Linked DNA regions of Drosophila melanogaster. The protein of the gene in region 3 interacts with the protein of the main gene of each other region in a pairwise test. Each region holds a gene or a part of one and is shown on either strand. Other genes may lie near its edges. The genes, in order: CG16978, CG2082 and Lcp65Ag2.

Region 1 (2,642 bases), on a different chromosome or scaffold from region 3:
GAATTCCTCACCGCATCGTTGCCCCAATTATTTCTATCATTGCCACTGTTATCCAACGATTCCAGTAGCTTCAGAGTCCTATCGTCATCAGAACTGTGAACACTATCGCTCCAGTCCAAGTTGCCACCTGAAGATCGTGTTCTTCCTCCTTCGCCACCGAGGTTTATATTCTGAAATATACCCGATGCACCGATCGCGGTATAGATTAATCCAAACAGCACCAGCAGTCGGAGAATGGATTGCATTTTTCTTTCGATTAGCTCTGGCTACAGTTGACTGAATGTCAGTCGGCTCTTGAGCTGGGCTTTTATAGCCTTGCCCTGGGTTATCAGCAGTTCTAAGTGGTTGGTTTAAAGGTGATATGTATACTTTTAGACAGAGGTGAGTGCGGGAAATTCCAGCTTAACAGCAACACAGCTTACCACAAGCTTAATTGATATACTAAACGAGCTATTAAATTCAATCTATGACTAGTATTTAATGCGTACTTAAAATCGAAATTGCGGAGTAGGCAACATTCATTATCAAAAAATGAAGATCTCTTGATTCTCTCTTGATTGATTTCATTTTAAAATTTCTAAAAACTTTCTTTTATTTCCCTTAATAATTATTATTGAAGAACTAGATTATTTACAGACAATAGGATAGCATGACTTAGCATTACAGCACTACTAAATAATTCCATATTAAGTAGCCGGTTCGGTGGTAATATCCATAAAATCCAAAGTCGTCTCATCGTCATCAAGACTTGGATAGTCAGTTGAGTTCTCATGAGCTGCATCGTTCTCCTGCCAGCGTCTGATCAGCTCGTCCATTGCATTCATGAACTCTTCGGCACTGTTGTATCCACTGCCAGATTCCTCCAAAGCATCATTGGTACCTTCCGGATCTTCAATAAGGTCGTGCGGATGGCCGGCAATTAGAGCAGCACAAATGATTCCGAATAGGAGAAGCAATGATATGATGCGGCTCATCATGCTGATCAATGCACCGCCGGCAACTGCATAGCCAGATGCAATTTCTTTCGTTTTTATATGGATCGTGTCGGTCAGTAATAAGTTCAATGGAATTCTGGAAAATCCAGTCTGGGCTAAGCCCAAGTGGCAAGCTGCTTCGATTTCCTCATTCATATTTATGCGTTGGGCGGTACTAGAGTCCCCTCTGAATCATCGCAGACCCAGCAAGAGCAAGCATTGCGCATACGACACGTTGCCACTTGCGGATCAACAGTCATGCAAATAAGTCTATGATTAATTCCAAATAATTGCTATGTCTGTTGAGAAAATTCTCGGCCATGCCAATCATCTGTCAGTTACTAGAGTTGTGTTAGTTAGCTGGGTAGTCAGAAAATGTACTCTAAATAAGGGATTATAAACTTAGCAAAGCGACTGTATTTCATCTTTCCTTGTAGGCCGATGTGAGTGCTGCCGGCAACCCTTAAATGACTTGGCTGCCAGCATCGAGCACTTTACTCCGCTTCGTTGCCTCAATCCTTCGTTGGCTCCTCCGGCACTTTATTCAATTTTCCAAAGCGCGCGCACTCAGCTGCCAGTACAACCTCACTTTGCCACCCCAAAAGACGGGAGCCCATCCACGAAAACCTGTGGTAAAAACATGCAATCTACTCACGAGGCTAATGCCCTTTTATGGCATTGGAGTGTGCCGCATCAGCAAAACGGTGCTGAATCGTTGCTGCTGTAGCTGCAGCATTCAACCATCTAACCACCATGCGAACAACACCATTAGATGGGCCACCAGACTCGATTCACGGGGGCTGCAGCTCATTATCCTCCGGGGAAGCAGACGCCCGCCCATTCACCGAATTGCTGGTGGACTTGTCTGCAAATATGTCGCTCATTTGCATCGCCATCATTGGAGTCTAAGACTGCGCCATTGAAATCAAAGTAAGCTGTTACACGGATCGTTTTTAGTCATTTCTAAAACGTTTCAGAAAATTCTTTATATAATATAAAAACTCTGCTGGCAACTGAAATAATAACCACAAATATGTTTTTAATTATTTTAATATCCTCAACTTCAATTCTATAATTAATGTATATTTTAAAAAATTTCAAACTTTTTCTGATGCTTTTGTATATTATGTCGACTTGCTAGCAAATGTCAGTCATTTAAAAATCGCCGCATACCAGCGGCGCAACAAATCAAAGTTGGTTTTGAGTTTTGTTTAGTGGTTTTTAAGCCGACATGAATACCCACTTCTAGGTGTATAGAACCTTAGCAAGTGCCATTAAAAAGATACAACTGAAATAGCCCAGGCACTCCGGCATAAAAGTACGACAGTCAGTCAAATTAACATTTCAGTCACACAATGACCTTCACCTAGAAGCCATCAAAGCGTACCCAAACGACGGCCCAGCCCTAGCCCCAAATCCCCTGGCTTCACCGGAGTCCAAAGCCAAAACCAACTTCAACGCAACGCGACCAAATAACATAAAAACCAAAGTCAATCAAAAAAAAGAGGAGGAAAATAAATATTTTTCAGCCAATGTCTAAATACCCTTTTCGAAGCTTCAATGATCAATATCATTGATAATACTGAAGTTGTAAAAATAACTCGATTTTAATTATGACCAAAAATGACATCTAATCGTTTAAATTTTCTTCATATATACCTTAAGCTT
Region 2 (4,809 bases), on a different chromosome or scaffold from region 3:
TCAGTCATCATCATCATCCCCATTTGTTTAATTAAAGCACGTGTCGAAATTGAAACACAAAAAATTATGACACATATCTGCTTATGGCCTTGGCGGAAATGCATGCAAATTTTGAGAAGATCAGCGAATTGCTCTCGTAAAACATACATTTAATATGGTTCATTTAACTGAAATGAAACAACCTTTTGAAATTTTTAAAATATCTTCAACGGTTTTTCTTTCTGTGCTCTTGTAAATCGAAAGAATTTAAAATCGCATGGAGTATCAAGTATCCAAGCCTTCAGTTCATCCAATATTTTTGGTTTACCCCTAATTGGCTTCAACATTTTGCGCTTTTCTCATCCAACTTTAAATTACTTTCACTTTGGCCAGCCAGCATTTTCGAGCTGCATCATCGGTAGTTGCGAAGGGGATGGCCTTCGATGTCAGCACATAATAGTAATCCATTCCATCATATCACCGTACCGGCCGCACCGCACCTCTGCACCTATGCTCTGTGACCCTTTTTCCATATCCATATCAGAAATTTCGACCCGGCGGCCACGCCCCCACCCACAGGCACAGCCCCTCGTGGCATAACCGCAGCCGGCTTGACCTAGGACACGCATATTTCTAATGCGCATTTCGCCAGAGAAGTGGGCGGAATTGGGGTGCCCGGGTCGTCCGGGGAGACGGATTTGCGCATTTCCCGCGCGCTGACAAATTAGCACATCAAAACAAAAAGGCCAAAAAGGCTTAGAGCAACAAGAGAAGAAGGGCTGCAAAGGCGAGAGCCCGCCGACAATAAAGAGTCTGCTCAACAATGCCACCGAAAACAAAGTAAGACAAAAAGGATTTTTACATAAACCCACGCAAGACACCCACACAAACGCAGGCCAGCAGAAACACACACACACACTCTTACAGCGACGAACGTGAGTGGGCGCCAAACTAAGCGCGCCCAAAAGTAGGCAACGGAATTTTCTCGGCAGAAGCTGTAGGTGCGCGTGTGTGCGTGCATGTTGCAGTGCGAGCGTTGCCAGATGGAAAGAAACGTATATGTGAATGTTCCCTTGAATTTTAAACTGCAATTACGTTCTTTAGAGGTAATTGAAATATTTGGGATTGCTTGACGTAAACAAATGAGAATGAGAAATATTTATATTTTCTGGTTGGTATCTAGAATCACTCTTTGCCAAAGCTAAAAATACTATAAAATTACACCACAAACAAATAAATAGTTCATAAGCTGTATTTAGCTAGGTTTTATAGGTAGCATATTTGTCTAGATGCATATTTTAAGTAATCGTAATGCATTGAAGATTCCAGAAACTACTATTGACGCATACAAAGTCAAAGGACCAGAAACACAATATCTAAATGTGATATAAATGTGATATAAATTTAATACTTTTCAACACAAAACTCAGTTGGGAGTCGAATTTCGTAATGCGTAGTTGGTGGGCAACCATCTGGCCACGCTCTGTGCAACACCTTCCCAACAAACTGCCCTACGGCAACATTTCAACACTTGGCCCACCCCCAACCGCCTCTTTTTCCCCGGCAGCATCACTGCGAGAGCGAGAGAGACAACGGTAGAGGGGGAGCGAGTGGGCAGAAGGCGATTTCACTTGGCCATTTCACTCATCATCAGTTTGTTTTGCTCCCCGTTTCGCTCAGCTTCGTTTCGCCTCGGAAAAGATCGGCTTTTCACGCCGGCGATGGCGATGGCGTAGCATTTTCCCATGATAAGCCAGTTTTCCCAGTCGTCGCCAGGCGTTCGAAGATTGCGCATTCGTTCAGAAACGCGGTTCCGCCCGATTCGCATCCGATTTCGGTTTCCATCCTCGAGTGCTGCTGTGCGCCTGATAGAGCCCCGTTCGAGCCACGCTTGTGTGTCCCGCAGTTCCTTTGAGCAACCCAGTGAAGTGAAGCTACCGTCGCCCGAATCCCACACCATGTCGAAGCCGGGAACCCCCAAGCACGGCGCCGGCTCATCCTCAGCAGCTGCTGCCCCCGAGAAGATTAGCGTGAGTTCCGACATAGCAGTTTACCGCCAGGAGGACAGCTTTTCGAAAAGTGCATCCTGGCTGATTTGGGATGCAGAGCATCAGAACACCATAATATCATGTTCCACATCACTCCCGTCCGTCAAGTGCGTTAATGCGCTTTTCTAGAATTCTCTCTGTGCGTATACGTAATATTCGTAACACGCCGAGCTGCAAGTGCGAGCGACTACTTCTGTTAACATCTCAAGTGTCTGAGTGGTATAATCTTTCAAAAAAGTCGGGATAAATATTTGCACGGAAATTAGTGATGAAATTGCAGACGAGTGAATTAGTTTGCTATAAGACCAAGTTGTTCTGAATAATATTTAAAAACCTACCTAAATTAAGAAATTATGAAATATTTCTGAGCACTTGTACCACGAAAAAGCTATTAGTTTTTCTTCCACATGAAAAGGGCTAAATAGCACGTAAATGGAAAATTATACTATCAAAAAAACGTAAGGTGTTGAAAATGTAATCAACTAATTTCGTGACAGTTCGAGGGCTTTGTGGAATTAGTCTACCTAAAATTCATCCCCTTTACTTCCTTCAATTAAAAAAGGTGAGCGCGAAATGCTAAGCCAGACTAAGCCACCGCGATCGAATAGAGAAAACAGAATACAGAATATATTGTAGAAACATATGCTGGTGACCTCGAATTCCCCTTTTGGCACGGGGTTACCTTTTGTAGTTGGGTGCTGTTTGCTTTTTATTTTTTTGGCCCTCGGTGCCCAGTGAACTGGGCTCAAAGGGCATAGCATACTTTCTGTCTTGCGCCTCATAAAAATTGCATAATTGTCGTTCTGCATGTCGTTGTTTGTGCGACTCTTTGTGTGGTCCTGTTGATGTGGCTATTGGAATGGGGGCGACTCAACCATTAGCCTGGAACTGCATGTTTCTTTTTACGTGCCATTTGCGGTCGCATCTGGCACACAGCAACTGCGTAGAGTGGGCCAAAACGAATCTAGGTGCTCAAATGGGCAAAATTATGGTGTTCGTTCGGTCTTATTGGCCTGCTATTTCCCTCTTTTATTAGGCAGCTAATTATATGGCGACAAAGTGGTGCGGACTCTAAACGGAAATAAAGGAACATATCCAAGTTGAAAGTTAAAGTGAATGCACCCACTTCATTGAAATATGGTTAATTTATTGTTGAAATGCTACATGTTATTTGATAATTTGCGGAGAAAACTAATAACTGGAATATAAAAATTAAATCTTTATAAATATTTGCTATGTAGCATTTTTTCACTTATTCGCTTTTGGCCCTCGTGGCTGGCTCATAATTTCCCCATTTTCCTTTTCGACTGAGCTCATTAAATCCTGACCACAATGTGAGCTGCGCCACTTCCACCCCGACCACATGGTGCACACCCTCTTGTCCTGCATTGCAATCTCAATCCAAATATGCTGACTAAAGGGCTTTGCTGGAGTAAATCTCTGCGATATATGGCTGTATTCCTGTCCGACTCGCTTTGTTTCCCAGTTTTCCGCAGGGCTCGCTCATCCCCTCAAGCGGAATCTGAATGCGATGGAATTTAACTAGGGAAAAGCATAATGGGGAGTCGGCTGTCCATATAGGGGTATGCATTATACATGATACTGCAGACCGGGCCAGACCTATACCACTATTCCCACGACTTTTTCCATTTTCCTTCGACATTCTGCCCGCGGGTCTTCCATTGGCCGCCTTGAAGAAACTTCCCATAATTTGTGCTGGCCCACACTCACACTTCAGGATATAAGTCCTTTTCGGTCAAGTTTGCGTTCTTTGTTCCGCCCAGCCAAGTTTCTTCATCCTCCGAGTTTGTTTTCGCCGGAGCATCTGGCGTGTCCCCTGTCCACAAGACGAAAACTTGTTGACTTCGAAGGCATCGAAAAACACGCGTTTCTCCTTTTATTTCAATTTTTTTTTCATATTTTTTCCTCTATGCATTGTTAAGTGAGTGGGAAACGGTGGCGTAAGAACTTTGCCACCGGCAAAGTGTCAAAGTTTGCAAGGCAAGGTTGCTCATACGCCCCGTTGCCCCCTGCGGCTGCGGGCGCAAACTTAAAGAACATTTAATTGGTGGCTTTAAGCACCGGCCTACATGCCCGCGTGATTTGTTTGTGTCTATTAAAAATTCCCTGGCAATGCGGTCGCTTCGCCAGAAAAGTGTGCTGGAATTTTGTTTGCACAACTTTTCGCATCACTTGGGGGCTTTTGCCTTTATGCAACCGACCCCCACCCCTCCCCCTGCAAGGTTTTCCATAAATTCAAACACTTTTACCCAGATTTTCACCGCCCTCATAACGGCATCCGCAGGCTGTTGGAAAAGTGTCGGGGCATAAAAATCCCATCAAGTATACGTCAAAGTGCGGCCAACTTGTGCTCCTCTTAGATAATGCCTGGCAAAAAGGTCCTGCACGAGAAGTCAAAACGATTCCAATTCCAAAATGCTGACTGTGACTTTTCGCTCTGGATTTAATTGCATTTCAACTAGATAGGCAAATTCTACTTGGTCTAGAAGAGCCATTAAATGGTTCACATCTACATATGGCAACTGAATGTTTTAGTCTCCGAAAATCCACCTGCCACCAATCTTTGAATCGGACTACTAGGGCAGAATAAATATGTAACTATGTCCCAATTATAATGCACTGCACAATGGCACAGTCCACCGATGATTACTATGGATACAGACTCGAATTTGTGTACATTAGCAGGATTTGCTGTGCCAAATCAGCTGGGAAATTAAATATCATATCAATTATGTGGCCTGCACAATGCACCTGCAGAATT
Region 3 (3,257 bases):
CTCACGCCAACTGTCCCGCCAACTGTCCCGCCGATTTATCCAGCCGCTTTCAGATTCTGCTTGTGAGATTGCCATCTATTGATAATTTTTCCTTGTTTCTCATGTGGTTATTAATATCAGCCGAGTATTTTTGCTAGTAACAACTGAGTTAGTGAAACCAATTTGAACAACTTGCCTAAACTTGTTGATTTGCATTTTGTGTTAGGTTTTAAGCCATTCAGAGATAGCTGGTACTCAATAATATACATTTTTCACATTATGTTTTGACTAATTCGGATGCGTTCAGCATAATCGAGAGGTTGTCCAACTATTTAAGACGCGCCCTGGCCAACAGAGAGCATCATTCGTCGCGAACTGTTCGATAGCCGCAGATCTAAGCACCAAACAACAATCACCATGAAATTCCTGATTGTCTTCGTCGCCCTCTTCGCCGTGGCTCTGGCTGCTCCTGCCGCTGAGGAACCCACAATCGTGCGCTCTGAATCCGACGTTGGACCCGAAAGCTTCAAATACGAGTAAGTTGCCTATGAGAAATGACCCAAAAGGATACCTAGCTGACACTGACTTCCTTCTTAGCTGGGAAACCTCCGATGGACAGGCTGCTCAAGCTGTAGGTCAGCTGAACGACATTGGAACTGAGAACGAGGCTATCTCTGTGAGTGGATCCTACCGCTTCATTGCTGATGATGGCCAGACCTACCAAGTCAACTACATCGCCGATAAGAACGGATTCCAGCCCCAGGGTGCTCATCTGCCCGTTGCCCCCGTGGCATAAGTTTTTCAACATTTTTAACTAGTTCCTTTTTAATGTCGGTTAACAGGAAATAGAAAACCTTTATTACCGTTCTTATCAAGGAGAACAGAATCTAAATCAATAAGCCTAAAGTGTTATTAAAGAAAAAATTATTACATGAAGTAATTTGTTTTAAATGGGAATTAATTGTAGCAGGAAATCATTGATCACTTATCTATAAACATAAGATAATTTACGTAAAATATAAATATACTTTTTAAGATATAGCTTTTCCCAATGGTCTATTTTAAAAACAATATTCAAAGTGCTATAGTTTTATTGTGATATAGAAGTTATAAGTTATAAGTAATAGAAGTTATAGACTTTTGAGAACTGTGTTTAGATTAATCAATCAATAATATTGAGAACTAAACCTGACATAACAACAGTTCATCATATATGATAAGCTGTTATCTAAAACAAGAGAGAATGCTTAGTGGAGTTCCCCGACTATCGGATACTCTTTACTCAGCTGGTGTGAATGCGAACGCGAAATTTCATAATTTTTCTATGATACCGATAGATATTATGAAATAAAATGAGAAAAAATTTAAAAATTGTTTAAAATGTGGGCGTGACAGACTCGGCTGCTTTAGGGCGTTAAAGTAGGCGTGGCAAAAAGGTTTTTCGCAAATCAATAGAAATTTACAAGACTAATAAAAGTATGAAAAATATCGAAAAATGGTTCGAAAATGTGGGCGTGGTAGTTTTGGCGGTTGTAGGGAGCTAGACTGGGCGTGGCAAAAAGTTTTTTTTTTGCAAATCGATAGAAACAAGACTAATAAAAATGTGAAAAAATTATCAACACGTTTTTAAAAAGGTTAGGCGTGCTTATCAGCATAAAATATATGAGTCCAAGTAAAAACATTTATTTTTGTTGTTGACTCTTTTTGTTTTTGTCAGTTCTGGGCACTTTTTTTTAGCTGCTATTAGTTAAACTTAATGCATTTGCCATGACTTCTTATGTTTTTTTAGCTCCAGTTAAATAGAAACTACGAGAAGACAGCTGAAAAAGGAATGCGAAACTATGCAAACTATATAGATGAAGATGTCCGATTTACATATCGTATAGGGCTTTTAACGATTCAGCTTTAGGCCGAATTCAATTTCACACATTTATCACATTTTGCTTTATACACTACAAGTTTGACTAGTTTGGCAGCGTTGGGCTCGGTCGTCAAAGTTTGTCCATCCATCTATATAAAGGGAGTACAACCATCAGAGGGCATCATTCGTCGCGAACTGTTCGAGAACCGCAGATCAAAACACCAAACAACAATCACCATGAAATTCCTGATTGTCTTCGTCGCCCTCTTCGCCGTGGCTCTGGCTGCTCCTGCCGCTGAGGAACCCACAATCGTGCGCTCTGAATCCGACGTTGGACCCGAAAGCTTCAAATACGAGTAAGTTGCCTATGAGAAATGACCCAAAAGGATACCTAGCTGACACTGACTTCCTTCTTAGCTGGGAAACCTCCGATGGACAGGCTGCTCAAGCTGTAGGTCAGCTGAACGACATTGGAACTGAGAACGAGGCTATCTCTGTGAGTGGATCCTACCGCTTCATTGCTGATGATGGCCAGACCTACCAAGTCAACTACATCGCCGATAAGAACGGATTCCAGCCCCAGGGTGCTCATCTGCCCGTTGCCCCCGTGGCCTAAGTGAAATTGCTTTGACCTTTAGCAATTTTAAAGCCATACTATCCAACTCCTTGTTAATAGCCCCAAACATTACCAAACCAATCCTATCCCTGTTTTCAAAGGATGGGAACTAAGTCAACCAGCACCACTTGTTAAATATTAAAGGAATTTAATTACCTGAACTTATGTGTGTTTGTTTTCATAAAATTCATAATTATTTTATTTTTCAGAAGAAGTCGAAATTAAGTTTTGAATACAATTAGCTTTTGATTAACATATGGGGAAGGTCGTAGTCGAAAAAGAACCGACTGATTATAGATATTCGAAGAATAGAAACTGGTCACAGCGTGTATACGTGACCGCTGCACGATTAAATGTTTGTAAAATACTCTGATATTTGATATAGAATACTCTGATATGTAGAATATTCCATGCTTGTTGGATTGCTGATTGATATTTTCTATTAATAATTAATGTATATACCAATAGTAGTGTACACAAAGCATTTGCTGAGGCTTTACTTATTCAAACATTAGATGATAATATGAGAAATGACAATGGCAAAATCACAATGCACAATAATAAAAAGTTCGAATACAGAACTTTATGCATCTCGACTAGAAGACATCGTTTAAACCTGAGTTTATATGTATATAGCAAATGGTGATCGTGTACTGTTTTTTATACAAATTTTCACCGTTCTATCTGTTTGTTTCAAACAAACATGTTCACGATTAGCTTAATTAACCAATAAGATTTGAGAATTCAAAGGTGATGGCAAGGTAAGGCGTCATTCTGTCTATCAATTGACTGTCGACAAGG

What was found.
Region 1: the proteins of Lcp65Ag2 (region 3) and CG16978 interact in a two-hybrid assay, tested with the Drosophila melanogaster proteins (one large-scale study listed by BioGRID).
Region 2: the proteins of Lcp65Ag2 (region 3) and CG2082 interact in a two-hybrid assay, tested with the Drosophila melanogaster proteins (one large-scale study listed by BioGRID).

What each region holds. Positions count from the first base shown.
Region 1 is NT_033779.5:13,142,621-13,145,262, forward strand, and holds CG16978 (uncharacterized protein), read right to left. Parts: upstream 1,003-2,642; 5' UTR 978-1,002; coding exon 687-977; 3' UTR 594-686; downstream 1-593. Other genes in the region: CG9928 (uncharacterized protein), read right to left, coding at 1-245.
Region 2 is NT_033777.3:5,768,830-5,773,638, reverse strand, and holds the start of CG2082 (uncharacterized protein), read left to right. Parts: upstream 1-1,740; 5' UTR 1,741-1,937; coding exon 1,938-2,009; intron 2,010-4,809.
Region 3 is NT_037436.4:6,132,353-6,135,609, reverse strand, and holds Lcp65Ag2 (Lcp65Ag2), read left to right. Parts: upstream 1-2,016; 5' UTR 2,017-2,077; coding exon 2,078-2,196; intron 2,197-2,257; coding exon 2,258-2,456; 3' UTR 2,457-2,620; downstream 2,621-3,257. Other genes in the region: Lcp65Ag1, read left to right, coding at 397-515, 577-775. UniProt on the Drosophila melanogaster protein: Component of the cuticle of the larva.